Sus scrofa: one gene and its partners. The protein of the gene in region 3 purifies or fractionates together with the protein of the main gene of each other region. This does not show direct contact. Links are inferred from orthologs where the notes say so. Each region holds a gene or a part of one and is shown on either strand. Other genes may lie near its edges.

Region 1 (6,219 bases), on a different chromosome or scaffold from region 3:
CAAATACCAGCATATCAGTTTTCCAGTGATACACGGCTCTATGGCTGTGTGGCACATGGAGCAGAGGGGAGGGCAGCCACTTTGTTTTCTCCAGGAGCCCAAGGCCATCATTTCCCACACTGAATCACTGCTAATCTCTTACAAAACCACTTGCTCCAATTAATTGTATCTTTTCCTCTGCCTCCACCCCAAGGTCTGGAGTGCCCTGGCCTTTACATTTCCTTCCAGTCTGAGGGCTCTATTAACATTTCAGGTTTAGTGCCTTCTGATTCAACACCCTGGGTCTAGCTAAGAGCTAAAAATACTGTCCTTTCCAGCTGATCTGCTCTAATCACAATAGCACCAACACTTTAAATAGCTTTTCTGAGCCAGAGTAGACATTTGACAGATGGAGCTAATGCTCTGAGGGCCACAGGAAGTCACAGCCTTAAAGTACTGACCAGCCTAGCCTTGAGCTTTTACCTTTCTTCCCCCTTATTTTTAGGGCTGCACTTGTGACATATGGAAGTTCGCAGGCAAGGGGTCGAATCAGAGCTGTAGCTGCCAGCCTGGGCCGCAGCTGCAACAACACCAAATCCAAGCCTCCTCGTCTGCAACTTACACCACAGCTCTTGGCAACGCCAGATCCTTAACTCACTGAGCGAGGCCAAGGATCGAACTCACATCCTCGTGGATACTAGTTGGGGTTTGTTACCACTGAGCCACAACGGGAACTCCATACTTTTGCTCTTCTGTTTCTTCTAGAGGTGAAAGAAGAAAAGAAACCCTCTTCCTAACCTTAATAATTAATCAGATCTTAGTAGGTGTGTGATAGGATGTTTATGGTGCCACCAGTTGTGTAAGTACTAGAAAATATTAAATCAGAAAGGCACCAATGTATGGATTTCCTGGCTTCCTAGCACTCTTCATCTCTTCTGCTCAGGTGGTCTGTATGAATCTGTTTTACAGCTTATGTTACAGCTGCATTTGGGGTTAGCACATATCTGGGACCACGGTCTTAAGTGTACAAGATGTAGTTGCATCTCTAGCCATAACCAGAAAGTAATCTTCCTGGCAGGCAGTCCACAAACCTTTTTTTTTTTTTTAAATCAAGTGTTTATTATACTGTGAAAAGCTCAGAGAAATACTGTATGTATAGTCACTAGTTAAGCAGTCTAGTAAGGGACAAATGTTTCTTCTGGTGCAGGGACTAGGTGAGGGTAAGTTCTGGGGTTTTTTTGGTCATGGTTCTCCCCATTCTTTGGAACATTTCATAAATGCAAATGCTTTGCCAGCCAGCATTTAAATATAGTTTGGCTGTTCAAGTGGTAAAAAGTGTTCTTTTCAGCGGGCATCATGGTATTGAACTTGCTAATGAGTACCAATGCTCCCCCTGCCCACTCTGAGGACCTTCACCCTCCTGGCTGCTGGAAGAAGTGTGACCACAGCTAAAGTTGGAAGGTGAAGGAAGGAAGACCAGATCACACCTTCTAAGATTTTAGGCCTCAGACCCAAAGCCAAATTTGTGGTAGGAGACACATGAACCAAAAGAAATCACATCTTGAAGCCAGCGTAACTATGTTTGACCATCTTTTAAAACTATCCTTTAGGGGAGATTGCAGTATCTTAGCATTACATTCTCGTTCTCGGAGTCTCACAACTGTAAGATCCCATCGTTTCCCAAGGAGTTCAGATCCTTTAAAAAACAACAACAGCAAGAAAACAACTGTGATACCTTATCAGGAAGTACATCCCATCTAGCTGGGAAGCCACCTTACATCTGGCTCCCAGTGTCATTCTTCATAGGTTCATTTAGTAGAGTCTGATTATCCTGCCATTGACATACACTCTAGCTCCCAGCTAATATCTAAGGTTTATAAAAATTGACTCACACACGAGTTCCCATCATGGCTCAGCGGAAAAGAATCCGACTAGTATCCATGAGGATGCAGGTTCGATCCCTGACCTTGCTCGGTAGGTTAAGGATCTGGCCTTGCTGTGAGCTGTGGTGTAGGTCTCAGATTCTGCTGGGATCACGTGTTGCTGTGGCTGTGGTGTAGGCTGGCGGCTACAGTTCCAATTCGACCCCTAGCCTGGGAACTTCCATGTGCCACAAGTGTGGCCCTAAAAAGCAAAAAATAATAATAATAAAAATAATTGACTCACACATACTCATGTTATAGAACTCTCCCTCCATTCAGCCTTCTCTTAGAAATCACAGTACAGCCCCTTCAGCAGGAGCAGAGCCAGGTTCCTAACCAGAATGCTTCCAAGCACACTAAAGTTACATCCATTCATTCAACGTGCTTATGCTACCTGGCTGTTTGCTGCATTTTCTATTTCTGGAAGGGGTGAGTGCGTATGTGTGTTTGTGTGCTTCCATTTGTTAGCCTGTCATCTCTTACTGAGGTGGTAAAATCACGAGATGTCTAGGCTTTGAGGCCTTGCCATATGTATTGCCTAGAACATGCACCTATGCAACAAGGTGGACTTTACCAAAAGCTCCTACTATGTGTATTTTCTGTTTCCTTGGGAATGGGCAAGAGCCTTGAAAGTTGGGAATGGTTTTTACAACTTAAAGCAGTCCCTCTTGTGTTAAAGACAGTCCTGTCAGAAGGCATTAGCCAAACTCCAGCTGGTGATGTTGCCTAGCAACCCAGTCTAAGCTGCGAGAGCCCTTCATTGTGGGAACCAAGGTGACAACCAGAACTGCCTGACCCCCTAGAATGTAATTAAAAAGCATATTCAGGCCACGTCCTCCAGCAGTCTTGCATGTAACTACCCTGAGATATACTTTTTGGCTCCTCAAAGAGAGCCAGTCCTTGAGTTATAACTACTCTGCTTGGTGTTTGTGAAAACCTTAGACATAAAAGGAGGGAAATTAAGTCACAAGTGAGTGTGGTGCAGTTGTTTAATGAAGGAGCTTTAGTGCCTCCTCCCCTGAGCTCTCGGTGGTTTGAATATGGAAGGAAGGCATCAAGGCAAGAACCACCTCCAAAATTAGACAACATCTAAATAGATGGTTTTTAGATTCACACACAGAGAAAAAAAAAAATTATGGTTACCAAGGGGAGAGGGCAGGGGGAGAAGGGATAAATTAGGAGTATGGGATTAATATATATAAACTACCATTTATAAAGTAGATTAAAAGGATTTACTGTATAGTCCAGGGAATTGTATATTCAATATCTTAGAATAATGTATAATGGAAAAAGAACCTGGAAATGTGTATGTGTGTTTGTGCATATACATACACACACACACAATGATCTGAACCACTTTGCTCTACACCTGAAACTAACACAATATTGTAAATCAACTGTACTGCAATAAAATTAAAATAAGTAAATAGATGTGTGTGTGTGTGTGTGTGTTTTAATACCTGTGGCATTGTGTACATTCTAGCATCTCTAAAACCTGAGTCAGGTACCCATTCTGTCCCAGATACTGTGGGAAGCACAGTAATGAAAAACTCTAGGATCCCGGCGCTCAGAGAGCTTACTCTCTAGGAGTGCAAAAAAGACCGTCTAACACAGCATCCTTTCCCTAGAGAACACAATAAAATATGACAGACTTTTATGTGGAAAGAATTTAGTTCCTTAGTAATTTGAATTCTCACCAGAAGTGAACATAATATACTATCGACAAAAAAGTATTGTTTATCACTTCTATTTTTAAAGGTTCTCTTTCTCTGATGCTGCAGCACCTCATTTTAGCATGAGAGAATAAGGAAAGAGAAATGACCTTTAATACTAGAATTTCACACGTCTCTTTGATGCTGTAATTACAGCAAAGACCCCGAACACCAACCTGTTCTTACCCTGGGTTCATGACTATGAAGGTCTCCACTCTGACTGGCAGCAGCAGTGGGGCTTACCAGGGCCTTGGTGCAACCATCCTTGGGCAACTTCGGTCTTTTGTTGAGACAGTTTGTTTCATTATTAATTTGGGGCATCGTATGGGCCACAGGCTTAAGAAATCATTTGCCTACTTTTTTTTTTTTTTTTGTCTTTTTGCTATTTCTTTGGGCCGCTCCCGCGGCATATGGAGGTTCCCAGGCTAGGGGTCTAATCAGAGCTGTAGCCACCGGCCTACACCAGAGCCACAGCAATGCGCGATCCGAGCCCCATCTGCAACCTACACCACAGCTCACGGCAACACCGGATCGTTAACCCACTGAGCAAGGGCAGGGACCGAACCCGCAACCTCATGGTTCCTAGTCGGATTCGTTAACCACTGCGCCACGACGGGAACTCCTCATTTGCCTACTTTTAAAAAAAGAAAAAAACTTAAACCTCCAGATTAATAAATTTGACTTGCAGGATTTCTGCAACTTTCCACACTGCAATTTTCCTGACCCTGGCACTTGAGGCCAGAGTGGCTCACAGGTGAAGTAGTAGCTACTTGAGAGGGGTGTGGATTTGATTGTCAGTATCCCCATGGATCTGGGACCAGCTTCCAGAAATGATTCCTGACAAGGAAGTCACTGTGACACTCCCATGCCCCCATTTCTATCTTTGTTCTCTTTGGTGCATTTTTGCCTGTCTAGCACCTAAAGATGACCACCTCCTTAGACCCATCATCGTCTCCACAGGTAATTCTTACACTAATGCTTGGTTGCACTGTGTTGTTTTCTGTCCTGGAATGTGATAGGCAGGCACTTTGGGAGCCTCTTCCTCACTCTTTGCTCCTGTGGGGGAAGGGCTTTCTGAAAGGTACGCTTGTCAGGACTTGGGCACACATGGCTCATGGTACATTTGTTTGGTATTTTAACTAAAGGTGTTGAACTTTGAATCTGTGTTTCTAGACACTGTTTCCAGCAAGTTGCAAAACAACAATGTTTATACTATTGCCAAGAGGAATGTGGAAGGGCAAGACATGCTGTACCAATCCCTGAAGCTTACTAACGGCATTTGGATTTTGGCCGAACTACGTATCCAGCCAGGAAATCCCAATTACACGGTGAGGCCTTTCTCAGAATGGGTGAGATAGGTTCAAGGAGGGAGGTAAGAGCCTTTCATTTTTCTTAGCATCCTGGAAAGACCTGGTGGAGGTGCTTGAGACCCCAAATATCCAAAACAATCAGTCAGTTAAGAAGTCCCCAGTTGCCTCCTTAGAAGACCCTCCTGCTTGCACTGCCTGCTCCATCCAATGGGCACCATACCTCTGGCAACAAGAGTGCCTCCGACTCTCCTGGTGTACACAGAGTTGCTCGCAAAACATGGCCACTTTCTTAGTACTGGTTAGTCTTATCCAGCACATCTGTGTATGTATGCTATAGCAAGCTGCTAGAGGATGGATTTCCTAGCTCATTTCAAGCTCGTTCCTGCTTTTGGACTTGAGGATATCGGAGTCCTAGACACACCAGCCTTCTTTAGCAGCACTGTATGTCCTAAATGTGTATTGAAAAGTTGAGGCAAGAGGGGAAACACTTGGCACAGTCTGTAAGGGGACTTCAGAAACCTTCCTTTAATACCACACTGGGGGAGTTCCTGTTGTGGCTCAGTGGTGACAAACCCTACTAGTATCCATGGGGATGTGGGTTCGATCCCTGGCCTCCCTCAGTGGGTTAAGGCTCCAGTGTTGCCGTGGCTGTGGTGTAGGCCAGTGGCTGCAGCTCCAATTCAAGCTAGTCTGGGAACTTCCATATGCTGCAGGTGCAGCCCTAAACAAAAAATAATAATGATAATGATTAGTGAGAGTTCCTGTCATGATTCAGCAGGTTAAGAACCCAACATTGTCTCTGTGAGGATGCGGGTTTGATCCCTGGTCTCACTCAGTGAGTTAAGGATCTGGCATAAGCCACAGCTGCAGCTCCAGTTCAGCCCTAGCCCAGGAACTTGCTTATGCCACAAGTGCGCCCCTAAAAAAGGAAAGAAGGAAAAAAAAGAATGTTTAGTGACGTGTGTTCAAAGTCACGTAAATTATGGTAAGTGACTTGTGCTTAGAATTCAGGTATCTCGGAGTTCCATCGTGGCTCATCGGTTAACGAACTGGGCTTGCATCCATAAGGACTCGGGTTCCATCCCTGGCCTTGCTCAGCAGGTTAAGGATCCAGTGTTGCCCTGAGCTGTGGTGTAGCTCACGGATGTGGCTCGGATCCTGCGTTGCTGTGGCATAGGCTGGCAGCTGTAGCTCCAGTTGGACCCCTAGCCTGGGAACCTCCATATGCTGCAGGTGTGGCCCTAAAAAAGACAAAAAAAAAAAAAAAAATGCAGATATTGCAGCACTTCCTACCTT
Region 2 (6,219 bases), on a different chromosome or scaffold from region 3:
GCACCCGTGGTACAGAATTAGTTGGGCTGCTTCTCACCTGTAATCTCCCTTAGGCCTTTGAGTGGCCACAGAGAAAATTAACCTATCATACTCCTGGGTTCTCCTGCACATTAGTAAAACACTGGGGCAGCTCCAAGCTGGTGGTGGCCCTGATAGACTCAGCTTTCACTTTGTGAAGCTTTGAGACAGGGCTCTACTCTGACTCTTGAGCATTTCAGCAAGTGTCATGATTCAGCTGTCCTTGTGCCTTTTTGCCAAATTCCCAAGGGTCATTCAGGCCCCTGTGTCCTACTGTTTCATCTCTCTCATTCTCTGCCTGTGGAAATTCTCCTTGACCACTGATCTTACTCTCCTTATTTTTGTTTATTTATTTATTTGTTTGTTTGTTTGTTTGCCTTATCTAGGGCTGCTCCCATGGCATATGGAGGTTCCCAGGCTAAGGGTCGAATTGGAGCTGTAGCTGCCGGCCTACACCAGAGCCATAGCAACTCGGGATCCGAGCCGTGTCTGCGACCTACACCACAGCTCACAGCAACACCGGACCCTTAACCCACTGAGCAAGGCCAGGGATCGAACCCTCAACCTCATGGTTCCTAGTCGGATTCGTTAACCACTGCGCCACGACGGAAACTCCAGATCTTACTCTCCTTAAATGAGTTCACTGAGAGCTAGAGGATCTGGGACAGCTGGTCACTTCAGCCCCTTGAAACGTTTTCCCTTTGGCAATCTGAGAAATCTCTCCTCTAGAGCATGCATTAGCATAGTGTTTTGGAGCAGGGGGTGTGGGGAGGGCTGATCCAAGCAGAGACTTCCTAAGTGTTTTTGGTCACAGGAAACCCTTTTGTGGAACAAATAGAAGTGAGATGTGGTCAGACTGTAGTATTGTCACACTACCTCAGGGCTTAGCCTGGAAGAGCTCCAAAGGCCTTCCCTGCTCCCAGACACTCTCCTGGCCTTCTCCTCAGTCTAATTCTCTCTCCCTGTGTCCCTGCCATCCCAGAACCATCATTTTGTACTCAGTCTCCCACCTGTTACCTGCGGAGAGTGTTCTGTTTTCCTGCTGTGAAAAGGAAGGTGGGCAAAGTGTGACTGAGCCCTTGACCAAGGCATGCTGGTCAGAGGCTCTGTTGGAGATGGGTGCAGGCCTTACCCACACTCTCCTCTTCCCACATAGCAATCTGCTGAGCGCTGTGTGAGCACGCTGCTCGATCTCATCCAGACCAAGGTCAACTATGTGGTCCAGGAAGCCATCGTGGTCATCAAGGACATCTTCCGCAAGTACCCCAACAAGTACGTGGCTGCCTCTCCCTGTGAGGGTGCTGGGAACAGGGGTGGTGGGAGGAAAAGCCAGGAGGAGCCTCTCCCCTCTGCTGAGAACAGCGTTCTCAAAAGAAACCCTTTATCTTTTCTTACTTCTCCTGAGCTGCCAGATGAGAACTAAAATGTAACAGAGAAAACTCAAATCCTTTTACCACACTCTTGGGACCTCTGGGGTCTGTCTCTCTTGCCCCTTCCTGGGTCTCCCTTGGGCAGCCCAGGCTCTCTCAGTGCTTATGTGCCAGCCGCGCCCTGGTCTCTAGGTACGAGAGTGTGATCGCCACACTGTGCGAGAACTTGGACTCTCTTGACGAGCCCGAGGCCCGGGCGGCCATGATCTGGATTGTGGGCGAGTACGCCGAGCGGATAGACAACGCGGACGAGCTGCTGGAAAGCTTCTTGGAAGGCTTCCATGATGAGAGCACCCAGGTGAGAGGTCGAGTAGCCGACTTGGGGAAGTGCCCTCCTAACACTGCACTGACCATGTGGACAGGCAGTGAGGTGACGTGTGGGTGCCAAGTGTAGCCGTTTGCCTCCCGCACTGGAATACCTAAGGGGGACCTGTGAGGACAGTCTATGATGGTTTATGTTAAAGACACACAAAGTTTCTGGTTTGGTTTCAATTTTGGGAGTTCCCATCGTGGCTCAGTGGAAACGAATCTGACTAGAAACCATGAGGTTGCAGGTTCAATCCCTGTCCTCGCTCAGTGGGTTAAAGGATTCGACGTTGCCGTGAGCTGTGGTGTAGGTTGCAGATGCAGCTCGGATCTGGCGTTGCTGTGGGTGTGGCATAGGCCAGCAGCTATAGCTCTGATGCAACCTTAGCCTAGGCACCTCCATATGCTGAGTCAGAATTCAAATGAGATGTGATTGAACTCTGGCTCCCAGTAGGCAGCCATTAGCTGCTGTCTTCTAGGCTCACAAGAGGAGTTCCCCCTGTGGTGCAGAGGAATTGGTGGTGTATTGGGAGCTCTGGAACATAGGTTCAATCCCTGGCCTGGCACAGTGGGTTAAGGATCTGGCATTGCCACAGCTGCAGCTTAAGTTGCAGCAGCGACTCAGATCTGATCCCTGGCCCGAGAGCTCTATATGCTGCAGGGCAGCCAAAAAAAAGAGGAAAAACTCACAAGAATCCCCCCTGAAGCAGAGATTCCTCTCCTTCACCACCTGAGAATAGATGGTTTTCGCTAGGCTACCTGGCCAGGGGTGCTTGAACCAGGTCTAGAAGCCAGTCACTGAGCCACCTCCCATCCTGGAAGCAGCCACCTGCTCCTCTGCCCTTTGCCCATGTGTCACCAAATTACAAGGACTCTAGATACTTAGTCTGAGAAACCAACTGCATCTGTTCAATCCCACATACCACTGGCAGCCTGCCCTGCCTAGCAAGGCAGTTAAGCCATTTGTTTTTGTTGTAAGTGCCCTCCTGCACCACAGGCCTAGGAGGTGCTGCTAGCCCCTTTCCCACCTTTCTGCTGCAGGCTGTCCCTGGCACGGTTGAGGCTCAGGAGGTTCAGGCTGTCCTCTTGTCCCAGGGCTGACAAAAGTGAGATGGGGCTAAGGGCTCTGTGCAGAGAATTGACCTTTCAGAGGTCAGCAGGTTTTTAAGTGCCTGTTATGCACCAGGCACTAGAATGAACAGTAACCAGGGATGAGCAGTGGCAGATGCCATTCCTGCCTTCAAGGGTTCTCTCTACAGAACAGCCCAGGGGCTGGAAAGTCTTTGTAATACTGCGGGGTAGCACCAGTGTGGGGGCCTGGGAGGCATATTCAGGCAAAGGCAGCATTGGGTGACATGGGCTGATGGAGGGCTGGGCAGGAATGGTTCCCGCTCCCTGAGAGCGTTCCTCAGTGACACACTGGCTCTGTGGGCCCTGCTGATCCAGTCCGCTGGGCTTCTCTGGCACCCTCTCCCTTTGGTGACAGATGATCTTTAATAAGCATACCAGGCACACATGTTGCCTCTCTGAGCTCCTAAAGGCACTGTGGGCCTGGAGCCTGGGAGGGTTTCTGGGACCCTAGAGCTGGGTGGCAGCCCCCCTCCTGCCTGAGGCTGCCAGATAGTGCCATGGCCAGCTCCTTCCTGAGCCATGATGCCAAGGTCAAGGCTACTCTGCACTACTAGCACCCCCTGCTGGCCTTGGCCTGTTTGCATAGCCAACCCCAAACCCAGGAAAGCCATTCTCAGCCTTTGAATACCTTTTCCCCTCTTTGGGGTCCTTATCTGGTTTCCTGCTATCCCCAGTCACACTGCTTCTTCCTCGACTCCTCTCTGTCATCCTGCAGGTCCAGCTGCAGCTGCTGACAGCCATCGTGAAACTCTTTCTAAAGAAGCCGACAGAGACCCAGGAGCTAGTGCAGCAGGTCCTCAGCTTGGCCACTCAGGTGGGTGCACAGCCCTTGCTCCACAGAGGGAGCTTTAGTCCAAGAAGCCAGACCTGGGTGGTCTTGCCCCTAAAAGACCTGGGGTTTGGCTCCAGAGCAATCCAGGATCCCTGCTCAGGGAGCTCAGTCACAGACAAATCAAGGTGTGGCGGGAGCACATGGGCCAGACCATAACAGGAGGCGGAAGTCCATAAGCCAGACGGGCAGGCCCTGGAGAGGGTGGGGAGTGGAAACGGGTGGGGTGGCCTACTCGCAGCCAGGCCAGCGTGGAAACCAGTGGGCTGGGCCAGGTCTGTTCAGGTGGTTTAGGGACAGGCCCCAGGGGCTCTCAGGTCTGTCATGAGCAGCCCTGTGCTCATCACACTGTGTCATGGGACTATGGGAGAGGCTCCCCCACCTTCCCCTCACCTGGTTGCTGTGAGATTCATGGGCTCCTCATCATCTCCCAGGACTCGGACAACCCGGACCTGCGCGACCGAGGCTACATCTACTGGCGCCTCCTCTCCACGGACCCTGTAGCTGCCAAGGAGGTGGTGCTGGCTGAGAAGCCACTCATCTCAGAAGAGACAGACCTCATTGAACCTACGCTGCTGGACGAGCTTATCTGCTACATCGGCACACTGGCCTCTGTCTACCACAAGCCACCCAGCGCCTTTGTGGAGGGGGGCCGGGGCGTCGTGCACAAGAGCCTGCCACCCCGCACCGCCTCGTGAGTGAAGTGGGCCAGTCGCCAGCCTCAACCTTCCCACCTGCCTCCTCAGTTCTAGCACAGGCACTCAGGCCTGAGTCTGAGGAAAGTTAGTTCTAGTGACGTTCTATCGAATGCTTACTGTACACCAGGTGTTGACTGGGTGACAGCAGCTCTGAGAGATGTCCCCACTTCACAGACAGGGACAACAGGCATAGAGAGCTTGAGTGCCTGGTGCAGCATCCCAGGCAGCATAGCTGGGCTCAGACCCGATTCAGTCTGACTCCAGAGCCCCATTCTTCTTGTCTTCCTCCTCTGCCGTTTCCAGTGGCTTATTGGTCTGGTTGTCCAGTTCTCTGGGGACCAGCATCTAGTCTTCTGTTTATTTATTTATTTATCTATCTATCTATTTATTTATTTTGTCTTTTGTCATTTTAGGGCCGCACCCACAGCATATGGAAGTTCCCAGGCTAGGGGTCCAATCGGAGCTGTAGCTGCTGGCCTAAACCACAGCCATAGCAACGCAGGATCCGAACCGCATCTGTGACCTCCACCACAGCTCATGGCAACACTGAATCCTTAGCCCACTGAGTGAGGCCAGGGGTTGAACCCACAACCTCATGGTTCCTAGTCGGATTCATTTCCACCGCGCCATGACGGGAACTCCTGGTCTTCTGTTTAGAGTGGGCTGAGTGGTGGGAATGCAGATGGCCCTCCCTTCATTCAGCTTGTGAAGTTGGATCTCTTGAGAGCCAAAAAGATGGATGAGACGTGGGAAGAGGGAGGAAGAAGGCCATATAGACTGGGGGTGGATCTTAGAGAGTGGGGACTCTGGCCTCCCTGAGATAGCCTGACCCCCCACTCTGCTGAACCTCTCCTCCATGTCCTGGCAGGAGTGAGAGCACGGAGAGTCCTGAGACGGCCCCTGCTGGGGCACCCCCTGGAGAGCAGCTGGATGTCATCCCCACCCAGGGTGACTTGCTGGGCGACCTCCTCAACCTGGACCTCGGCCCTCCGGTGAGTGGCCCCCCACTGGCCACCTCCTCGGTGCAAATGGGAGCTGTGGACCTTCTTGGCGGCGGCCTCGACAGCCTGGTACGTCCTGGGGCCCCTCTGTGTGATGTTAATAATTGATCTCAGAGGAGCGATCATTGAACACCCTCTGCTAGATTCCAATCAAGGGCTTCAGGTACAGTTTGCCAGCAACGGTGGTCACATAGCTCCCTACAAATGCGTGAGAAACTGAGGCTTAAAGAGGTCAGGTGACCTTCCTTTCAAGAGTACACAGCTGCTAAGTGCCAGGCACAGAATTTAGTCCCTTGCTGGGCTGCTGAATCCCAAGAGACCCGCAGCTGTGTAGGGCCTGTCCTAGCCCCTTCTCCAGAGTGGTCGCACAGGCACCTTGGCCTTGTAAGCCTGCAGGAGCCATGCCTATGTCCACTTATCCCACACCCTCGACTGGGAATAGCAGCCTAGCAGGCCAGGGAGAAGCCCATGAGAGGCCAGGGACAGTCCCTCCTCTCCTGTGAAAGGAGGTGGGAGGACTGGCCTAGATGTCTCCCTGGGACTTCTTTAGGCAGCTGATAGAGCCAGGTGGAGGGGGCAGTAGGGCCCTTGTCACTTGGCCATGCCTGGCTCTGGTACCCAAGGCTGCAGCACAAGAAAGGGTAGGGGGTGCTCTGGCACAGGACAAGGGTCGGGTGAGCCCCAGGATTAGTGCCCTTTTAGAGACAGTCTGGGCCCCTCCAGGCCCGGCACAGCCTTGCCTTAGGCCCTTTTGGGTGGAGCAGTAGTGACTAATCTTTTCCCTCTTTCCCTCTCTTGTCTCTCTG
Region 3 (6,219 bases):
TCTAAAATAAATTATCTTGAAGAGCCCATGAAGAAAGAACACTGCTTTTTTGATTCCTGTTTTGTGCAGCATGTTATGAATTAAAGTCTTAAAATTAATTTAAAAATACACATCTACAAATTACTAGCTTAAGAACTTGTCCAAGAGTACTGCATTGATTCTCTTTACTAACAAAGGAATTTATAATGACACACCAGGAGAATACTGAGAACCATTTGGTTACATTCACCCACAGTCAGCTGATATTTAGCAAACTGGAGAAGTCATGTGTTTTGAATGTAAGAATAGGCACTTTCAGATGTTCTCTGAGTGCCAGTAATTAGAGTAAGCCTTAATCTACTCTGCTAAAAACAACTAAACATACCTTTCTTACTAGTCTATTAATAATTTTACTTCAGATTTAGACTTACAAATATGCACTTAGAGAACAACATGAGCTCATTATTGAATTTTTAAAAACCACTTGGTTCTAAAAATAGTATACTTCACCTTCTGGTAATCTTTTACTAAATCAGTATAACAATTTTTATTTCTCTCCCTCTTCAGAGCATGTGAAATATTGCTTTGAATGTGTTTTAATTTTTGCCAGGTGCAGGATTACTTTATTTAATATAGTTCTGGGCTATATAGTTTTTAATATAAAACTTGGGCTCTAGAGTCAAATCACTGTTCCTGGGAAGGTTATTCAATTAATCCTGAGTCTCCAGCAAATGCAGATAATAACAATATCTTTCTGGAAGGGAGGGTTTTGTGAGGATTAAAAGGGTAAATTATGCTAAGGCCTTAGCTAACATTTATTGCTATATTCAGAGTGAGGACTCCAATGAATGTTACCTGTTACTATACCTCTGTTTTCTTTCTTAGGCTTTCTGGAAAGAGAAGCCTTCTTATAATCTTGATAACTGGATATTCACCTATAATGAAGAGTTCATTTAATTTGATGGTTCTCTTTGCATTCTGAGTGAATGCAAACATTTAGATAGTGTTGCAGGGTTTTTAAAATATCATGTCAGTGCTTAGACATAATCAGTCCTGGTGATATTTAAATTAATATGTTCATTAATTAATAAACATTAATTCTGAATGTTTCATACAGTCTAGGACCTTTGACTAGTGTTTAAGTGCTGTTTATTTGGAAGTAAAGAGGCAATGCTGTGGATAAAGAGCAAAGATGGTGAAAGCATTAGATTGCCTAAAAGCATGGAAGAAATTGAAATTAAAAGTAAAAGGAATTTTACCCAACATTGACTATTAACAAATTTCTTTTTTCAGTTGTTTATTTTTGTGTTTTTAGGGCCGCACCTGCGGCATATGGAGGTTCCCAGACTAGGGGTTGAATCAGAGTTGTAGCTGCTGGTCTACACCGCAGCCACAGCAACTCGAGATCCGAGCCACGTCTGTTACCTATACCACAGGTCATGGCAGCACCGGATCCTTAACCCACTGAGCAAGACCAAGAATCGAACCCATTTCCTCCTGGATACTAGTCAGGTTTGTTACTGCTGAGCCACTACAGGAACTGCTAGTAAATTCTAATGAAATTATTTAATACGCTGTTCATGTTAGATTGTCCTCTCTGGTTTTTATCTTTCTCTCTCTCTTTTTTTTTTTTTTTTTTTTTGCAACCTGCCAGATCTTGAACTCACTGTGCCACAAGGGGACTTCCTTATCTGCCTCTTTTGGTGTGGGGGTGCACATCTTTTTTATTAAAGTATGGTTGAATGGTTGATTTACAGTTTTGTTCCAATTTCTGCTATACAGCAAAGTGACCCAGTCATACATACATACATTCCTTTTCTTATATTATCTTCCATCATGTTCTATCCCAAGAAATTGGATATAGTTCCCTGTGCTGTACAGTAGGACCTCACTGCTTATCCATTGTAAAGGTAGTAGTTTGTATCTAACAAGCCCAAACTCCCAGTCCATCCCACTCCCTCCCCCCTCCTACTTGGCAGCAGAAATGTCCCATTGCCTTTTAAAGAGATAAAACAGGATAGCGCTAAGAAGGAGAGGAAGCACTTTGTTAATAAAGTTGGAGGTGGTGCCCTGTTACATCCTTTATGGTGATAAATGACCATGTTTGAATGCCTTCTCTCTAAGACTGCAGGAAACCCACCATTTAAAATAACTTAGTGGGGAGTTCCCGTCGTGGCGCAGTGGTTAACGAATCCGATTAGGAACCATGAGGTTGCGGGTTCAATCCCTGCCCTTGCTCAGTGGGTTAACGATCCGGTGTTGCCGTGAGCTGTGGTGTAGGTCACAGATGTGGCTCGGATCCCGCGTTGCTGTGGCTCTGGCGTAGGCTGGTGGCTTCAGCTCCGATTAGACCCCTAGCCTGGGAACCTCCCATATGCCGCAGGAGCAGCCCAAGAAATGGCAAAAAGACAAAAAAATAAAAAAATAAAATAAAATAGTGAACGTAGCAGTTGGACAGAATGGACATGGCAAAAAGTCTGTGTATGACAAGGGATTCAGTACAGTAGAGTGAAAAAAGGCCTGGAGTTAGGTCTGAAGATCAGATTTCTTGTCTCAGTACAACCACTTAACAGGCCCTGTACTCTGTGACGTCTTTTTTTTTCCTTCCGTAATCAAGGATGATGGTGCTTCCTGTTGGAAAGATCCAATAAGATGGAATGTTTTTGATAATATTGAAATTAATAGAGTATTAGGAAAATCCAAGTAATTCTCATACTGAAGAGCAGGAATTCATTGAATTTCAAAACTGAGACTGTGTGTGTTTGTGTATTATTTTACATTAATGCTATGAGTAGTAATTGCCCATCGTGTTTTCTAAAACTCTCTTAAATGCTCCTCAGTGTGAAAATTACAGTGGCAGCTGAGACTTTAGAATGTCTTAGGTCTTTATTTTGTTTCTTTTCAGAAGCCTTAAATACATTTAAACCATTTGAAATACTCTGAATCCTCCTCAGAGGACTTGGTTAGGTCATAGTTCCTTATGCCTTAAAGTTGTGTGTTAGTAAGTTTTGGCTTCCTTAGGCCAAGTATAACCTTCTCCCATGCTCTAGAATCCTAATTTGGAGAATTGGGTTTTCAACCATATTACTTCTTTAAGGGTAAATAACCTAAACTTTAATAAAGTGGAATGTGGAACATTTGAGGGTGTGTCTCAATTTCCCCTGTTGTCTTTCTCTAATTTCTGTGATTACTTAGAACTGTTGTTTTTTTCTTGAGGTTTATTTCACAATCCTATAAACCTCCTTTGAAAAATAATTTTATGCTGTTAGAAGTTAAGAGAGTAGTTACCCTTAGGGGTGGGAGGTTGTGACCTGGAGAGGCTGCATGAGAAGCTTCGGGGGTTCAGTAATAATTGTTTCTTCATCCAGATGCTGGTATACAGGTAGGTTCACTTTGAAAACTCATCAAACTGTACATTTATGACTTGTGGTCTTCTCTGTCTGTATATTACACTTCCATAAAATGTTCCAGAATATTGACTTCACATTGGCAATATCTTCAATAAGTCCTTCAGTTGAAGAGTTTATCTTCTTCCTTGTTTACTTATAGTTTGAATTAGTCACCTGGTATATTTTGTTTTAAGTAAACTTCAGAACAACCTGGGTCAGCTTTTTTAGAATATTCACAGAAAGGAGCCTGAATGGGAGAAGAGCAAAAATAAGTTGATTTCCTAGATAGTGAGATTTTTTTTTTTTTCTTTTTTGCTTGCCTGTACTTTTCAAAATTTCTCTTTTGTGCATTTATTACTTTTATAGTCTAGGAGAGAAACAATTTGTTGTATAAGAGGAAATAACTTGTATAAGCTTGGGGTCTTTCACAATAGGATATGAAAATATATTTTATTAAAGATGATTATATGGTAAATTTTTTTTGTTACAGATATGCCAGTCTGTATTTTTGCTGTGCTATTGAGGATCAGGACAATGAACTAATTACCCTGGAAATAATTCATCGTTATGTGGAATTACTTGACAAGTATTTTGGCAGTGTGAGTAGTATTTTGTTTTAGGAAATTGAACGCCATGGTATATTTTTTTTAACCTTTTCTGTCACAAGTTTATTATTTGATTGTCTTTGGGATTCTATTTGAAACTAAGTGCAGGAAAGGGAAGGAATAACTCTATTTCTTGTCAGTGTGCATAGTCAGTTAATTGCCAGAATTGCTTGACCCCACAGACCTATTCACTTAATTATGCTAGTGAGAATGAGGTTTAAAATAGTGAAATAGAAAGGAGTCCAACTATAAAGACTAATATACTGGAAGTGCTTAGTATAGAATTTAGATTTGGTTAGCAGTTATAATCATATTAGCCAGAAATACATATTTCAAAAGATTAGTTTGAGTAGAAAATTATTAAGTTGAGCTTGCTAGGAGCTTTCAGAGTGTGGTCTTTCTTAGCTTGTAGGCATTGTATTTTTCAAGTCCTTGAGATTTGAAAATTAAGCTGACTAAATCAGTGATGCTTAGCAGGATTGCAATTTTTAGAAAGAATTAAGATTTCTTCATTTTGGTCAGATTTTATTGACTACTTGATAGATAAGTATCTATTGCTTTCTTCAGTTTATGTGTGTATATATATATATATTTTTTTTTTTTTTTGCTTTTCAGGTGTGTGAACTTGATATCATCTTTAATTTTGAGAAGGCTTATTTTATTTTGGATGAGTTTCTTTTGGGCGGAGAAGTTCAGGAAACATCCAAGAAAAATGTTCTTAAAGCAATTGAGCAGGCCGATCTACTGCAGGAGGTAAGCTACTCACGGTTCTCTTGACTAAACACTGGCATGTTTTGCTCTTCCTAGGGAAGTCTCAGTCATCTTCCCTCATTTTTACAATTTCCAAAATTACCCTGAAGCATGCTTGGCATGTACTGTCCGTGGTCAGTTTATTGATTGGAATATGTGTCAGTCACATCAACTCAGTTATCTATGGATGGATGGTCTACCCTAATAGTGGCCCATTTTTGAACCCCAGAACACTAGAGTCTAAACCTTTAGAGCACAGATTAAAATGGGAAAGGTAACAGTAATTTGAGAACTCTCTATCCATTGTTCTGAATTATTTAAGATAACCCCTTTTCTCATTATTAGTATAGATAATCAGGAGTTGACTGTGAGATTATGACATTTTCATTCCAAGTTGGTTCATATTTTCACCTCATGTCCATTAAGTGCAAATGTAGCCAAGCAAATGATAGTGTTGTAATTACACTTTTTGTAGAATCCTCTAGTTTTGTGTTAGCAAAACTAAAAAGTACTTCTACTTCTCTATACTTCTCTTAAATAACAAACCATATTCTGCCAACCATTGATTAAACCCCCTTCCTTTTCTAATTGGCACAGCTGTCTTGGGTTAATTGTGTATTTGATGCTTCTGTATCTTCCATTTCTGAAGTTAAAAGTTTCATGGATTAGGTGGCCTTTTCCTAAAAACTTAATGATACCTTAATTCAGGTACCAAGTTGAATTATGCTTTAGTAATAATTGTGGTTTTAATCAAATAGAAAGTTCATTAGCATGAGGAGAAGGAGCTAGTCATTGTAAAAAAAAAAATGTAACGTTTCATTAAGGTAATTTATTATTAAAGGAGGCTTTAACTCAGAGTAGATCTTCTGTATTTTAACTTCTTAAATGTTGGCCTCAATCAGGAGAGTGGCGAGCCCTCCATAACCCCTCTGCATCAGTCACTGACTAGGTCAGTTGTGGGGATTGTTTGAAGCGGTGATGACATCATCTGGACCATACATATATAAAATATGAGACCATGCTTTGTTCATTTAATGATCTTGAGTTACCAAAACAGTGGTTAAGGTGCCTGCAAAAGTGAAGTATTTTGTTGACAGCCCTAATACCATCTGCTGTTCAGTAGTGAAATGAGTACAGCCCCCTTTCCGTGTGTGCAGTTTGCCATGGTCGTTTATTAATTGATTGCAGACATGTCATTGGGAGATTTAATCAGGCTTTTCTAAAAATTCAGTCAAAACAGGGTCAGAAATTAGGAATTTTTCATTTATGTTCCTTCCCTTGGTCACTTTTATATTTATTATGGAACTGTATTCCGATCTATCAGATCCTGGTATCTCCTCCAAGATCATCATTTCCTGATTAATTACATTTGCCTTAAAACATTTGTAGGAGTTCCCCCTGTGGCACAGTGGGTTAAAAATCCGACTGCAGTGGCTCGGGTTGCTGCGGAGACATGGGTTCAATCCTTGGCCTGGCGGGGTGGTTTAAAGGATCTG
Region 4 (6,149 bases), on a different chromosome or scaffold from region 3:
CCAGAGTTCTCTGAGACTTTCTTCATTTCTAGACTGTCCTCCACCTCACTTATTTGTTCTTCTGCCTCCTATATTCTGCTGTTGGTTGCTTCTAATGAATTTTTTATTTCAATTATTGAATTTTGCATCTCTGCTTAAGTTTTAAATCTTGTATATCTTTGCTCAGTGTTTGCTGTAATTTATCAGTCTTTGCCTCCAGTTTATTTCCAATGTCTTGAATCATCTTCACTTCATCAGTCTAAAGTCTTTTTCCTGGAGGCAAATAATCTCCAGATCACTTAACGGTTTTTCTGGGTTTTGTTTTTTGTTTTTTGTTTTTTTTTTCTTGCTCCCTTATCTGAGTTATAGTTCTCTGCCTTTTCATTTTGTATTGGTTTTGGGTGTGGTCTCCTTTTTGCAGACAATAGAGTTGTAGCCTCTCTTGCTTCTGATGTCATTCTCCCCCCCCTCCCCCCCCCCCCCCCCCCCGCCCCCACAACCCTGCCTCCCAGTTAGTATGGGGGCTTGCTGTAGGCTTCCTGATGGGAGGAACTGATGCCTGCCAACTGGTAGGTGGAGCTTATTCTTATCCCTCTGGTGGGTGGGGTTAGAATCTCACCCTCTGGGTGAGATTAGAAATGGCATTTGCCTGGGGGAGGTCTTTAGGCAGCTTCTTACTGATAGGTGGGGCTGTGATCCCAACTGGATTATTGTTTGGCCTGGGGCTTCTCAGCTGATGTGGGACCATATTTTCCCAAAATGGCCACCTCTAGAGGAACACATGCTGATGAATATTCCAGAGAACCTTGCCTCCAATGTCCTTCCCCAACAACGAGCCACAGTCACCCCATTTTCCCAGGAGATCCTCCAAGAACTACAGTCAGGTCTGACCCAGATTCCTATGGAGTCCCTGCTTTGCCTGGGACCCAGTGTACATGAAAGCCTGTCTGCATCTTTCAAGAATGAGGTCTCTGTTTCCCCCAGTCCCGTAGAGCCCCTGCTCACAAGCTCCACTAGCCAGATGCTCCAGGGGCTCCTTTTCCCAATGCCAGATCCCCAGTCATGGGGACCTGACTTGATGCTCAGAATTCTCACTCCCAGGAATTCCTGTCATGGCACAGCAGAAATGAATCTTGACTAGGAACCATGAGGTTGCGGGTTCAATCCCTGGCCTCACTCAGTGGGTTAAGGATCTGGCATTTTTGTGAGCTGTGGTGTAGGTCGCAGATGTGGCTCAGATCTGATGGTGCTGTGGCTATGGCATAGTCCAGCAGCTGTAGCTCCAGTTGGACCCCTAGCCTGGGAACCTCCACATGCCATGGGTATGGCCCTAAAAAGGAAAACAAAACAAAACAAAACAAAAAACTCTCACTCCCGTAGGTGAGTCTCTGTGATCCAGTTACTTTCCAGTCTGTGAGCTGCCCACCTGGTGGATATGGGGTTGCTTATATTGAGTAATTACCCCTCTTATCATCTTGATGTGGCCTCCTCTTTGTCTTCTGGAGTAGGATATCTTTTTTGAAAGTTTGCCATCGTCCATTTGGTTGAAGGTTGTTCAGCAGTTGGTTGTAGTTTTGTTTTTATGAGAGAAGGTAAGCTCCAGTCCTTCTACTCCACCATCTTTTTGTTGTTGTCTTTTGTCTTTTTAGGGCTGCACCCATGGCAGATGGAGGTTCCCAGACTATGGGTCTATCAGAGCTATTGCTGCCGGCCTATGCCAGAGCCACAGCAACACCAGATCTGAGCCACGTCTGTGACCTACACCACACCTCACGGCAACGCCGGACCCTTAACCCACTGAGCGAGGCCAAGGATTGAACCTGCAACCCTAGTCGGATTCATTTCCTCTGCTGTGCTAAGATGGGAACTCTTTACTCCACCTCTTAATCCTGTCTTTTGGGGAACTTTGTTAGAGGATTAAGGGATGATATCCAGAGACCTGAGGAGAGGACAGACCCCTTAGAGCTGCCTCTTCGCTCCCATCCACACAGGTAGCCACAAACACGAACACCAGCCGAAATGCGGGCAGCGCAGTCCTCTTTGAGACGGTCCTCACCATCCTGGACATTCGCTCAGCAGCAGGCCTGCGGGTACCATCCCCCCACCTCTCCCCCTCGGCCCCTCTCCCCTCACCCCCACCAGGCTGACCGTCCTGTTCCCTAGTCTCTCCTCATCCCTGTCACCCTGTGCCATGCACTCCCTACTCCTGAGTGAGCAGGTTGCTCCTTCCCTGACTGTCCCCAACCTCTGCCTCCCATAGGTTCTAGCTGTCAACATTCTTGGCCGCTTCCTGCTCAACAGTGACAGGAACATTAGGTAACAGGCCCAGGTGGGCTGTGCCCTTGGCCCTCTGCCCTCCTTCCTCCAGATTCTTAGACCCAGGGCAGGATGGGATGGGGAGGGGCCTGATGGCCAGGGTGTGATAGGGCCTCGCCCGCTCTGACAGGTACGTAGCGCTGATGTCCCTGCTGCGGCTGGTGCAGTCTGACCACAGCGCTGTGCAGCGGCACCGGCCCACCGTGGTGGACTGTCTGCGGGACCCCGATGCTTCCCTCAGCCGGTGAGCAGGACAGAGGTCCCATTGCCCAAGATCCAGACCAGCTCAGAGCAGCTGGAGAAAGGGGACTGGGGAAGGGGGCCTGTGGCATGTCATGGGGTGACCTAGGCTGCCTTGTATAAACACACACTCCTCCTGCCAGGCGGGCCCTGGAACTGAGCCTGGCTCTGGTGAACAGCTCCAATGTGCGAGCCATGACCCAGGAGCTGCAGGGCTTTCTGGAGTCCTGCCCCCCTGATCTGCGGGCCACCTGTGCCTCAGGCATCCTGCTGGCGGCTGAGAGGTGAGCGGATGGGTGCCCAGGAGACAGAGAGGGTGGAATCCATGGTGGCTCAGCACCAGGACTGAAGAGCCACATGTCCCCTAGGTTTGCCCCATCCAAGCGGTGGCACATAGACACCATCCTGCATGTACTGACAACGGTGAGGCAGGGGCTGGGCTGAGCTGGGCGGGAGCAGGCGGGGGTTACCACGCTGACTCGGTCACGTTCACCCCTCCAGGCAGGCGCCTATGTGCGTGATGATGCGGTAGCCAACCTGACCCAGCTGATTGGGGGTGCCCAGGAGCTCCACGCCTACTCTGTGCGCCGCCTCTACAGCGCACTGGCCAAGGACATCTCTCAGGTACTGCTCCACCACTAGGCCCAGGGCTGCCCACCCCTCACCGCATCCCCCAGCCTTTCCTGGGCCACTTGCTTCCTACACCTGATTCCTAATTGTTTTTCCTTCAAGGTCACAGCTCTCTGCTTAGCAGAAGAGACACTCAAGGGCAGATCCCTGTTTTTAGTTAGAACACCTGGACTCCTGTCCTGGTTCTGATACTACTGTCTGTGCAACCACAGACGACTCACTTAACTTCATGCTAGGTGTCCTCAGCATCCTACTGAGCCTACCTGCCAGAGTGGTCTTGGTCAAGTGAGATAGATAAAAACACTTCCTACATGCATTAGGTTTTGTTATTACCTTGAATACTGAGTGAATTCACAGATGCCAGCCAGTGTCTATACTGTAGCCCCCTTTTCCAGATTACTTAAGTAGGGTAGGAAACCACCCATCTCTCCCTCAAGGGATAACTCCCTCACTTCCTCATCATCGCTGCACCCCTTGTGGTTAAGCCATGTAGTTTTTTGTTGTTGTTGTTAAGGTGGTACCTGTGGCCTATGGAAGTTCCCAGGCTAGGGGTTGAATTGGAGTTGAAGCTGCTGTCTATACCACAGCATGACAACACCATATCTGAGCCACATCTGTGACTTACACTGCAGCTTGTGGGAATACCAGATCCTTAACCCACTGAACAAGGCCAGGGACTGAACCTACATCCTTACAGACACTATGTCGAGTTCTTAACCTGCAGAGCCACAACAGGAATTCCCTATTCTAGGATATTTTTTAAAGTTGAAATAAGGCTGATTTATATTGTGTTAGTTTCAGGTGTCCATCAAAGTGATTTAGTTATATATCTTTTTTTCTTCAGATTCTTTACCATTATAGATTATTACAATATATTGAATGTGGGAGTTCCCATTGTGGCTCAGCAGTTTAAGAACTCCGCATAGTGTCCATGAACATGTGGGTTTGATCCCTGGCCTTGCTCAGTGGGTTGAAGATCCACCGTTGCCATAAGCTGCGGTGTAAGTTGCAGACATGGCTTGGATCTGGTGTTGCCCTGGCTGTGGTGTAGACCAGCAGCTGCAGCTCCAATTCGATCTCTAACCTGGGAACTTCCATATGCTGCAGGTGCAGCCCTAAAAAGGAAAAAAGATATTTCATACAGTTCCCTGAGCTTTACATATAGTAGGTCCTTGTTTCTCTTTTTTTTTTTTTTCCTTTTTGCTATTTCTTGGGCCGCTCCCACGGCACATGGAGGTTCCCAGGCTAAGGGTCCAATCAGAGCTGTAGCCACCGGCCTACACCAGGGCCACAGCAACGCGGGATCCGAGCCGCGTCTGCAACCTACACCACAGCTCACGGCAACACCAGATCGTTAACCCACTGAGCAAGGGCAGGGACCGAACCCGTAACCTCATGGTTCCCAGTCAGATTCGTTAACCACTGCACCACAACGGGAACTCCTGTTTCTCCCTTTTATATATAGTAGTGTGTCTGTTAATCCCCAAACTCCTAATTTATCCCACCCCCCTTCCTTTTCCCTTTGGTAACCATAAGTTTGTTTTCTGTGCCTGTGCATCTGTTTTTGTTTTGTGTATAGATTCATTTGTATTATTTTTTAGATTCCACATATAAGTGATATTATTTAATATTTGTCTTTGACTTCACTTAGTATGATAATCTCTAGGTCCATCCTGGGCCATGTAGTTCTGATACTTGGCCACCAGAGGGCAGAGGAAGCCCAGGAGCCAGGACAGAGGCGTCAAGAAATTAACAAAACCCGCTCTGTAACAGCTCCCTGTGCTGAAGGCCTTCCCTTTTCCCCTCTCCTCTAAACTCCACCATCTCTGCACTACCTAAAGGGATGTCACAGGGTCTGGAAGTGAGGAGGGGACCCAGACGCTGGCCCAGCACGTTTCTTACCCCATGCAGCAACCGCTGGTGCAGGTGGCAGCCTGGTGCATTGGGGAATACGGGGACCTCCTGCTGGAGGGGAGCTGTGAGGAAGCTGAGCCCCTGCAGGTGGGTCCTGCACTGGGGGTAAACTGGAGGGATGGGTCAGGGGAGGCAGGGCTGAACCCAGGGTCACTCCCTGTGTCCCTCCAAAAGGTGGAGGAAGAGGAGGTGTTGGCATTGCTGGAAAGGGTGCTGCAGTCTCACATGTCCCTGCCAGCTACCCGAGGATATGCCCTGACAGCCCTCATGAAGCTCAGCACCCGGCTCCGTGGGGACAACAAGTGAGACTGGGGCCCAGCCGCTCTCCTAGAGCCTTTCTCCACGGTGCCCCCACCCCCAGTTTCTGGTTTCTCTCCAGGCCCTCACCCCCCCCACTTCCCCGCAATCCTTAGGTATTTTCTTTTGAGCCAAGTAGTGTGGGTCTCTCCCTGCTCCATGGAGCCTCTTCCTTCCCTGCCGCATCCTGGAGGTGAGGGGCAGGGGCAGAGCGCCATTCCCACTTGCACACCGCCACGCGGCCCAGCCGCATCCGCCAGGTGGTGTCCATCTACGGGAGCTGCATGGACGTGGAGCTGCAGCAGCGTGCGGTGGAATACAACACTCTCTTCCGGAAGTACGACCACATGAGGTGCGCACCACCCAGCCGCAGTGCGGGACCCACCCCCCTTGGCCATTGTCCCTTTCTGGGCACAAAGGTCTCATCCAGTCAGAGCCTCCCACCCACAGTTCATCGAAGCCAAGCAGGCTTCCCACCCTCCTTGTTCAGACAGCAGCAGCATGCCTTCTTAGGAAATCAGAGGGGCACTTCTGACCCACCCTAAGCCCAGGACTCTCCACGTTCTTACCCTCCTCCCACACCTCCTGTGTGAAAAGCCCAGGGCCTGCCCAGAGGGTTATACCTCCCTTCCATCCTCCCAGGGCTGCCATCCTGGAAAAGATGCCTCTTATGGAGCGAGGTGGCCCTCAGGTCGATGAGAAAGCAAAGGAAAGCGAAGAAGAAGAAGCGGCCCCTAACCCCACAGAGCCCCAGGTGAGGAGGTGAGGAGCTC
Region 5 (6,680 bases), on a different chromosome or scaffold from region 3:
TTTATTCAGAGTTGGTACATAACATGTTTGGCATTCCTGGCCTAAGGACACCTCAGGGGTGATGGGAGCAAGGCAGAGCCCCAGCACAGACAGACATGGGGCAATTGAGAGGACCTAGTTTCCTGTGCTGGAGAGCCAGGATCTTTGAGAGCCTACATGTACCCATCAAAAGAGGATTAACCTGCAAATGTTCTCGGGGAGAAGTGTGTTGACATAGATGCTGAAAGCATTAACAAAGTCCCAGAGAAAAATACAGTGTTGGGTTTGGGACTGTCATATGTGAAATGCAGAATAAAGCAAAAAAACAGTTATTAAATAGATGTCTGAGTATCTTAATTACAAGCTGTTTGATTATCACTAGAAATGCTGCCTTTTGGACTATCACAAAGTATACATACTGCAAAGTGACTGTTCACCTTCAATTTGGAGAAGAGGTGACATGTGTTTCCAACTGCCTATTCACCCACCTCAAAATGGGGTGACTTAAAACAATAGGATTAGTCTCTCAGGATTCTTGGGTTGACCATGCTCAGCTGGATGGTTCTACCCCACGTAGTATAGTTCAGTTCATGTGTGAGCTATGCTGACTTGCCTGGGGCCAGAAGGTCCTCTAGAATCTCCCTTCACTGAAGTAACCTATTCCATTGGCTAACACAAGTCACATTGCCAAACCCACTCTGGGAGGGAACTGCACAAGAGCACGAACAGCAGGAGACGGTTTACTGAGGGCCATCACTGTTTCAGTCTACCACAATGGTCCTCAAAATATGTACGTTGGACTCTCCTGGGGTGCATTAATTACTGGGGCTGCCTGGGGTTGGGGTTCCATCACGGAGATTTTTCAGAGCTCCCCAAGTGACCCCACTGCACAGCAAAGTTTGAGAAGCACTGTCTACCACAGTAAATATGGTCTTTTCTGAGATGTTGCACAGGACAAATCTGGCTTATACATTAAATACAAAGGATGAAATTCAGATGTGATTCAAATTCCTCCACATGCACTGAAAAGGAAGTTACAAGTAATTTTTGTGTTGCGTGTTTATTGTGACAGTATTGGCATGTTGGAGTTTTTGTTTCCTCGAAAGACTTGTCCTCCCAGCTCCATCCTTGCCTTGATACTGCATTATACTGTATCTAAAATGCCCAGAGCAGGGACATAGTTTTTTGAGGGCATTAGTCCACTGTGGTCCCCTTTGCCTGGCAAAGCAATAGAGCTATTCTTTTTCTTTTTTCTTTTTTTTTTTGGGGGGGGGGGGAAGAATTTTTATTTACTTTTTGGCCATGCCCTTGGCATGTGGAAGTTCCCAGGCCAGGGATCAAACCCAAGCCACAGCAGTGACAATGCCAGATCCTTAACATGTTGTGCCACAAGGGAACTCCCAAAAGCTATTCTTTTCTATTTCACCCAAAACTCTGTCTCTGAGATTCACTTCTGCCTTGGTGCACAGAGGCCAAATATCAGCGTCGCTTACTTTTAAGTCAGTTAAAGAGAACTCATTTACAAGTTAATTTTTACATAAAGCAGAACCAGAGATGTCAGTGTTTCCACTTGAGTGGAAAAGCCCTTCTCCTTCCCCCCTCTTCCTTTTTTTTCCTTCAGTCTCAGGAGCTAAAATAAAGATGGTCTAGATAAGGTAAGTGCTCCTGAGAGCCATTGTAGAACATTTACATCTCACAGAGAGAAAAAAATAATAAAATGCCCAGAGCAAGTCTGAAAGGAAATCCTCCATAATGAGAGGGGTTACCGCTCCCATGTGGATTTCTTTATACTTTTTGGCATTTCCTGATTTCTTCAGTGCAATGTACAGTTTTGTAATTTAAGAAAAAAAAAGACACTTTTTTCCTAAAAACATAATTTGGGCAGAGTGAGGCTAGGTATAATCAGATTGCTTAAGAGACGGTGTCAAAAAGCTTCTCAGCTGCTTTATGCCCAGGATTCACTGGTAATCTTTAAAGGTTCTAGTTTTCTTCTCTGGATTTTCTTGCACTTACATCTCTACCTTAAGTAGAAGGTATATAACCACAAAGTTGCAAAAACTAACTCTCAAAACCCAAAATGGAGGCAGTAAGGAAGATAAAAGTAAGAGGCAGGCAGCCGGGGTAAATGGTTCTGATAGTGCAGGGCCTGGGGCCCAGGGCATTGTGATGGTTCACTGGGACAGAATGCAGCATTTCTCCAAAGGCCGAGTATTCATAAAAGCAAACAAGGTATAATTCAATTAGATGAATCAGGAGTCACAATTTGCATTACTCACAGTGACCACTACCTACAGAAATAAATCACCTTTTTGCCTAGGTTCAGTGAGGCGTGGTTTTCAGATCATTTCAGGCAATAAACTGCACGCTTGTTTACCAAATGTTAGCACTGACAGGTGACAGGAACTTACTGTTGATGAGGCTCGATTGCCATTCAGAGAGTTTGAGTTCTTTCCAAGTAACCACCACCTTATCCCTCCTTATAAAGTGTATCACAATTGGTGTCTATGTATTTGTTCCCCAGCCTTCCCCACCAAACTATGAGTTCCACATGGCTGGGCCCTCGGTGGGTTCCACCACCAGGATCTCTCACCTAGTTTGGCCCACCAAGTGGGATTTTCCAGCGACATGAGTTTTCCCAGCTGCCATTCGCCGTCCAACCAGGCAGCTAGAGAGTTGCTCTTCCGCCGTCCGCCCGGCTTGGCCCCGCCCCTCCCCGCCCCTCCCCGCCCCTCCCCTAAGAGCTTACTTCCGGGATACTTGAGGGAGGAGCGGAAAATAAGGCCTTATCGGGAATATTGCGCCTGCGCACATGGCGCCTTGCGCCTGCGCTTTGGCAGCGCGTCCACGGCCAGACCTAACGGTCCGCGCGCTACTCCCCGGGCCGGAAGTGGAGAGGAACTGTCTCGGGTGCGCCCGGCCTGGCTCACCGCCTGGCAGTCACCGCTGTCGCCGCCGCCTTCGGCCAGTGCCGAGGGTTTTTGCAGCCGCCATGTCCGCCAGTGCCGTCTACGTGCTGGACCTGAAGGGCAAGGTACTGATGGCTCCCCACCCTCGGTGTTGCCAGGCAACTGGCCGGGGCCTCGCCCCTGGGGACCCACCCTGTTGCTAGGTAGCCGGCCAATGGGAGCCTCCCTGGTCTTTGAAGCTTTGGCCTCACCTGAGGGCTCTACCCTGTTGGTAGGTAACCGAGAAGGTGTCTTCTGTCTGTGAGTCCTGCCTTGTTGCTAGGTAACGCGGTGGGCTGCGGCCGTTGCAAGGTAAACGCGTGCACGACCCCCATCCTCACCTCTGTGGGCAATGAGCTCCGGCCTCCGTGGGGGTCCCGGGGAACCCGAGGCCGCTAGGAGCGCGGGCCGCTGCCGGCATGTAAGCCAGGCCTGACGCCGCGGGGCTGGGCGACCCTTGACCGGAGGTGGTGAGGCGTGGCGGGGACACTGTGCCCTCAGGCCAGTCCCGCTCTCCGAGAGCTCGGAAGCTTCTGTTTATCCAGCGACTTTTCTGTAGCAGTCCTTGTAGGGGTTTCTTAACATTCATTGTAACATTGAGTTATAAGGGTTAGGTGAGGTGGGTGGTGGGAATGCTGTTTTACAGAGGGAGAAACTGAGGCACAGAGAGGAAATGCAACCTGCCTAAGGTCACACTGGTCAGTCACAGAGAAGTGGCAGGTCTGGGAGTGGAACCCAGAATCATTTGTTCATTCAGCTGGTATTTGGGGAATATCTACGAAGTGCTGGGCAGGGTGCTAACCTTTGGGTTGCCTTTGGAGAGCAAAATCAGAGTCTGTCCCTGTCCTTCTGGAGCTCACAATCTGATGGGCGAGAGGGACACTGATCTCAAAAAGCACAAATAAATATAAGTTGTGGAGCAGTGAGGATGTAATAGGAAAGTCCACCTCCGCTGGGGGTCAGGGAGGGCTTCCCAGGGGGAGTGACAAACCCAGCTGAGACATGATGGAGGAATTGGACATAACTAGAACCTCGGTGCTTTTCCCAGGGGTTTCAGGGAAAAGTTCTTAAAGGAGGGATTGCAAAGCTTTCAGAGGAGGCCTACTGTCTTCCCCCCAAGTCCATTCCTTCTAGAAGGCAACTGGCCTCTTTCATTGGGGAATAATAAGAAAAGACAGGACTAACAACATTAAAACAGGCCCCTCATGGATGAGTTAGTGGGTGCCAGGCCTAGGCGGAGGGAACAGGAGTAGCGCAGAAGCAGTAGGGAGTGAAGAGGTAAAGTGACTGTCCCTTGCCACCCCAGTCCCCACCCCCAGCACTTTCCCAGAGCCCCTTGAGTGGGTTGCCTGCCTTGGAGGCCACCCAAAGTCAACAGGCCCTGGGCCAGGCTTCCTTCCCCAGCCTTCTTAGAGGGCACAGGGCACACCAGGGACTGGGAGGGTGCAGTGTTCCCTGTGTCTTGGTAGCACATGTTCTTGTTTCTGCCATGGTCACCGTGTCCGCAGCAGTGCCGCAGACTGCCTGCTCACATCACTTGTTTCTTCAGCAAACATTTCATGAGCACCTCACATGCACCAAGTCCAGGGTTGACCTGAGGAGTTAGGGCTGAGCTCAAAACCTGTCTCTGCTGCTCAGCTACGTGACCTCGGGCAAGTGTGTGAACTCCCTGAGCTCAAGACAAGCTCAGCACCACCCATGGTCCACAGTCCATGTTAGTCCCCATGGACCTCGAGCTCTGGCAGGGGAGGTGCATGAAAGCTGACAGACCCAAACAGAGACATGGATCTAAATAGGCAGATGTACTTAGCAACAAGGGCAAGGACAAAGCCCCAGGTAATGAAGTTGCCCAACCTTAGTTTTGGCTGGCAGCAGAAGTGGTTACGAAAGGCTTCCTGGAGGAAGGAGAGGCCAGAGCTGGGAAGGTGACCAGGTGGTAGTCAGGTGGACAAGGAGGTGTCACAGTGGGCCCAAGGGGTGAGTGGCAGCCTATTGGGCCTGGCAAGCCAGAAGTCCTAGTTGGTGCTGGAGCCTCGGAGATGGCATCAAGAAGGCCATGGGTATTGAGGATGTCCAAACAGGAGGGCAGGACAGAAGGGACTATTTTATCTCAAGAAGGAAAAGCCACCATGAGGAGACCATAGCCTGGGAGAAGCATAATCAGACATGCCTTTCAGGAAGCTCCAGAGGCAGCCTCCTGTCCTGAGTAACCATCATGCTATTTATTATCCTCCGCCCCCCACCCCCTCACCCTGCCCCACGGACCTCATGTTTTGAATGTTGGCCTTCTGCGCAGACTCCATTAAATCAAAAATAAGATAATGGCACATCAATACATTCACAACCACTCGTCTACCTGACAGCCAGAGCCTCTGATCACCAAGGAAACCAGCGTGACCACTTTCAGCAGATAGAAAACCCTCCACGGACATTTCTCTGCCCCTTATCTTTCTCACTTCTCTGCAACTTCCATCACCACCTGCCACGCTCCTCCTCAGAAGGCTTCCATTGGCTCTCTGTTTTCCCCTCTTTCTCTGAATGTGTGCTGCACCCCCCCCCCACCACCACCAGAGGCCAGCTCCTCAGGTTCAGGCCTAGCGTGCCTCCCATGCTGTCACTCTCCTTGGGGGCAGGCTTTGATTTATGTCACTGTGCCAATAACTCTCAAATTTGTACACCAGTCCAGAGCACTGAACTGGAGACCCACCAGTCTCCAGGACACCTTGAAGGTCTCACAGGCACTGCAAACTCAGCATTTCCCAAAACGAGCTCATCTTCACACCCCACCCTGCTCTCTCTGAGTGGGTGACGTTACCATCCATGCAGCTGCCCAGGTGGGAGACCTGGGCATTATCCTGGCCTCCTTTTTGTCACCACCACATTCACTTGCACAGACATTTACTGAGAAGCTCCTAAGGGCCAGGCTCTGTTGTGGGTGCTGAGACACAGCCGTAAAGTGGTCTGTTCTCAAAGAGTGTTAGACTTTAGTAGAAGCAACAGATGATAAATAAGGATATGAATATATAATGCAATGGTGATGTGGGCAGTGATGATAAAGTGGGGTTGGGAGTAGAAAGGGATAGGATATGATCTCAGCCAGGGTACGCAGGGAAGACTTCTCAGAGGAGGTGCCCTCTGAGCTGAGGCTTAAGAACTGAGAAGGTCTAGGGCAGAGCATTCTGGACAGAGGGAACTGCAAGTGCAGAAGCCCTGAAGCAGGAGCAGATGCACATTGCTCAGAGAGAGCAAGAGTGCTGGCCAGGGATGCTGGAAAGGGGTGAGCCCAGGGAACATGGATGGAGAGGCGTTGGAGGGGCTGTGAAGAGCCAGACAGCCATAGAGATGGACTTGTGGCTTGTTCTGTTTGAAGGGAGGCTGGGGTAGATGGCACTTTCAACAGGGGAGAGATCTGATCTGACCTTCGACTTCTAAGAAGGCCCCCTCACTCATTGTGAGGAAGGAATTGTGGAGTCAGGCTCAGCAGCAGGGGGTAAGGGTTGTCACCTCAGTGTTGCTTGCCATCTTCCAATCTGTCCTGGCTCCTGCCTTTGTCCTCTTATCCGGGGCCTGCAGCCCCAGCTCCAAGGCTACTCTCACTCCACCTAACCACACTCCTAGGTTTCCCATGGGCTGCACTCCCCGCCCCAAGGCTTCAACCACACTGGTCCCTCTGCCTCTATCGCACCTGTCCCCTGTCCCCTCAAGCCTCAGTTTGAAGGTCATACGCATGAAGAGTCTCTCACTTCCCCTTGAGCA

The links.
Region 1: the proteins of AP1S2 (region 3) and AP2B1 purify together in Homo sapiens (affinity purification with mass spectrometry; 3 studies listed by BioGRID and IntAct, counting the BioPlex papers as one, with this or other methods). This does not show direct contact. The link is inferred for Sus scrofa from reciprocal best matches to the Homo sapiens genes AP1S2 and AP2B1.
Region 2: the proteins of AP1S2 (region 3) and AP1B1 purify together in Homo sapiens (affinity purification with mass spectrometry; 5 studies listed by BioGRID and IntAct, counting the BioPlex papers as one, with this or other methods). This does not show direct contact. The link is inferred for Sus scrofa from reciprocal best matches to the Homo sapiens genes AP1S2 and AP1B1.
Region 4: the proteins of AP1S2 (region 3) and AP1G2 purify together in Homo sapiens (affinity purification with mass spectrometry; 3 studies listed by BioGRID and IntAct, counting the BioPlex papers as one, with this or other methods). This does not show direct contact. The link is inferred for Sus scrofa from reciprocal best matches to the Homo sapiens genes AP1S2 and AP1G2.
Region 5: the proteins of AP1S2 (region 3) and AP1M1 fractionate together in Homo sapiens (co-fractionation; 6 studies listed by BioGRID and IntAct, counting the BioPlex papers as one, with this or other methods). This does not show direct contact. The link is inferred for Sus scrofa from reciprocal best matches to the Homo sapiens genes AP1S2 and AP1M1.

Annotation. Positions count from the first base shown.
Region 1 is NC_010454.4:39,807,332-39,813,550, reverse strand, and holds part of AP2B1 (AP-2 complex subunit beta), read left to right. Parts: intron 1-4,786; coding exon 4,787-4,941; intron 4,942-6,219. UniProt on the Homo sapiens protein: Component of the adaptor protein complex 2 (AP-2). Adaptor protein complexes function in protein transport via transport vesicles in different membrane traffic pathways.
Region 2 is NC_010456.5:46,480,883-46,487,101, reverse strand, and holds part of AP1B1 (AP-1 complex subunit beta-1), read left to right. Parts: intron 1-1,174; coding exon 1,175-1,290; intron 1,291-1,580; coding exon 1,581-1,746; intron 1,747-3,600; coding exon 3,601-3,699; intron 3,700-4,148; coding exon 4,149-4,408; intron 4,409-5,280; coding exon 5,281-5,482; intron 5,483-6,219. UniProt on the Homo sapiens protein: Subunit of clathrin-associated adaptor protein complex 1 that plays a role in protein sorting in the late-Golgi/trans-Golgi network (TGN) and/or endosomes.
Region 3 is NC_010461.5:12,385,843-12,392,061, reverse strand, and holds part of AP1S2 (AP-1 complex subunit sigma-2), read left to right. Parts: intron 1-3,858; coding exon 3,859-3,967; intron 3,968-4,588; coding exon 4,589-4,726; intron 4,727-6,219. UniProt on the Homo sapiens protein: Subunit of clathrin-associated adaptor protein complex 1 that plays a role in protein sorting in the late-Golgi/trans-Golgi network (TGN) and/or endosomes.
Region 4 is NC_010449.5:75,541,605-75,547,753, forward strand, and holds part of AP1G2 (AP-1 complex subunit gamma-like 2), read left to right. Parts: intron 1-1,738; exon of another isoform or gene 1,739-1,970; coding exon 1,971-2,069; intron 2,070-2,239; coding exon 2,240-2,295; exon of another isoform or gene 2,296-2,308; intron 2,309-2,425; coding exon 2,426-2,539; intron 2,540-2,678; coding exon 2,679-2,819; intron 2,820-2,903; coding exon 2,904-2,958; intron 2,959-3,036; coding exon 3,037-3,159; intron 3,160-5,076; coding exon 5,077-5,166; intron 5,167-5,253; coding exon 5,254-5,381; intron 5,382-5,623; coding exon 5,624-5,728; intron 5,729-6,018; coding exon 6,019-6,130; intron 6,131-6,149.
Region 5 is NC_010444.4:61,382,264-61,388,943, reverse strand, and holds the start of AP1M1 (AP-1 complex subunit mu-1), read left to right. Parts: upstream 1-2,815; 5' UTR 2,816-2,968; coding exon 2,969-3,010; intron 3,011-3,125; exon of another isoform or gene 3,126-3,236; intron 3,237-6,680. UniProt on the Homo sapiens protein: Subunit of clathrin-associated adaptor protein complex 1 that plays a role in protein sorting in the trans-Golgi network (TGN) and endosomes.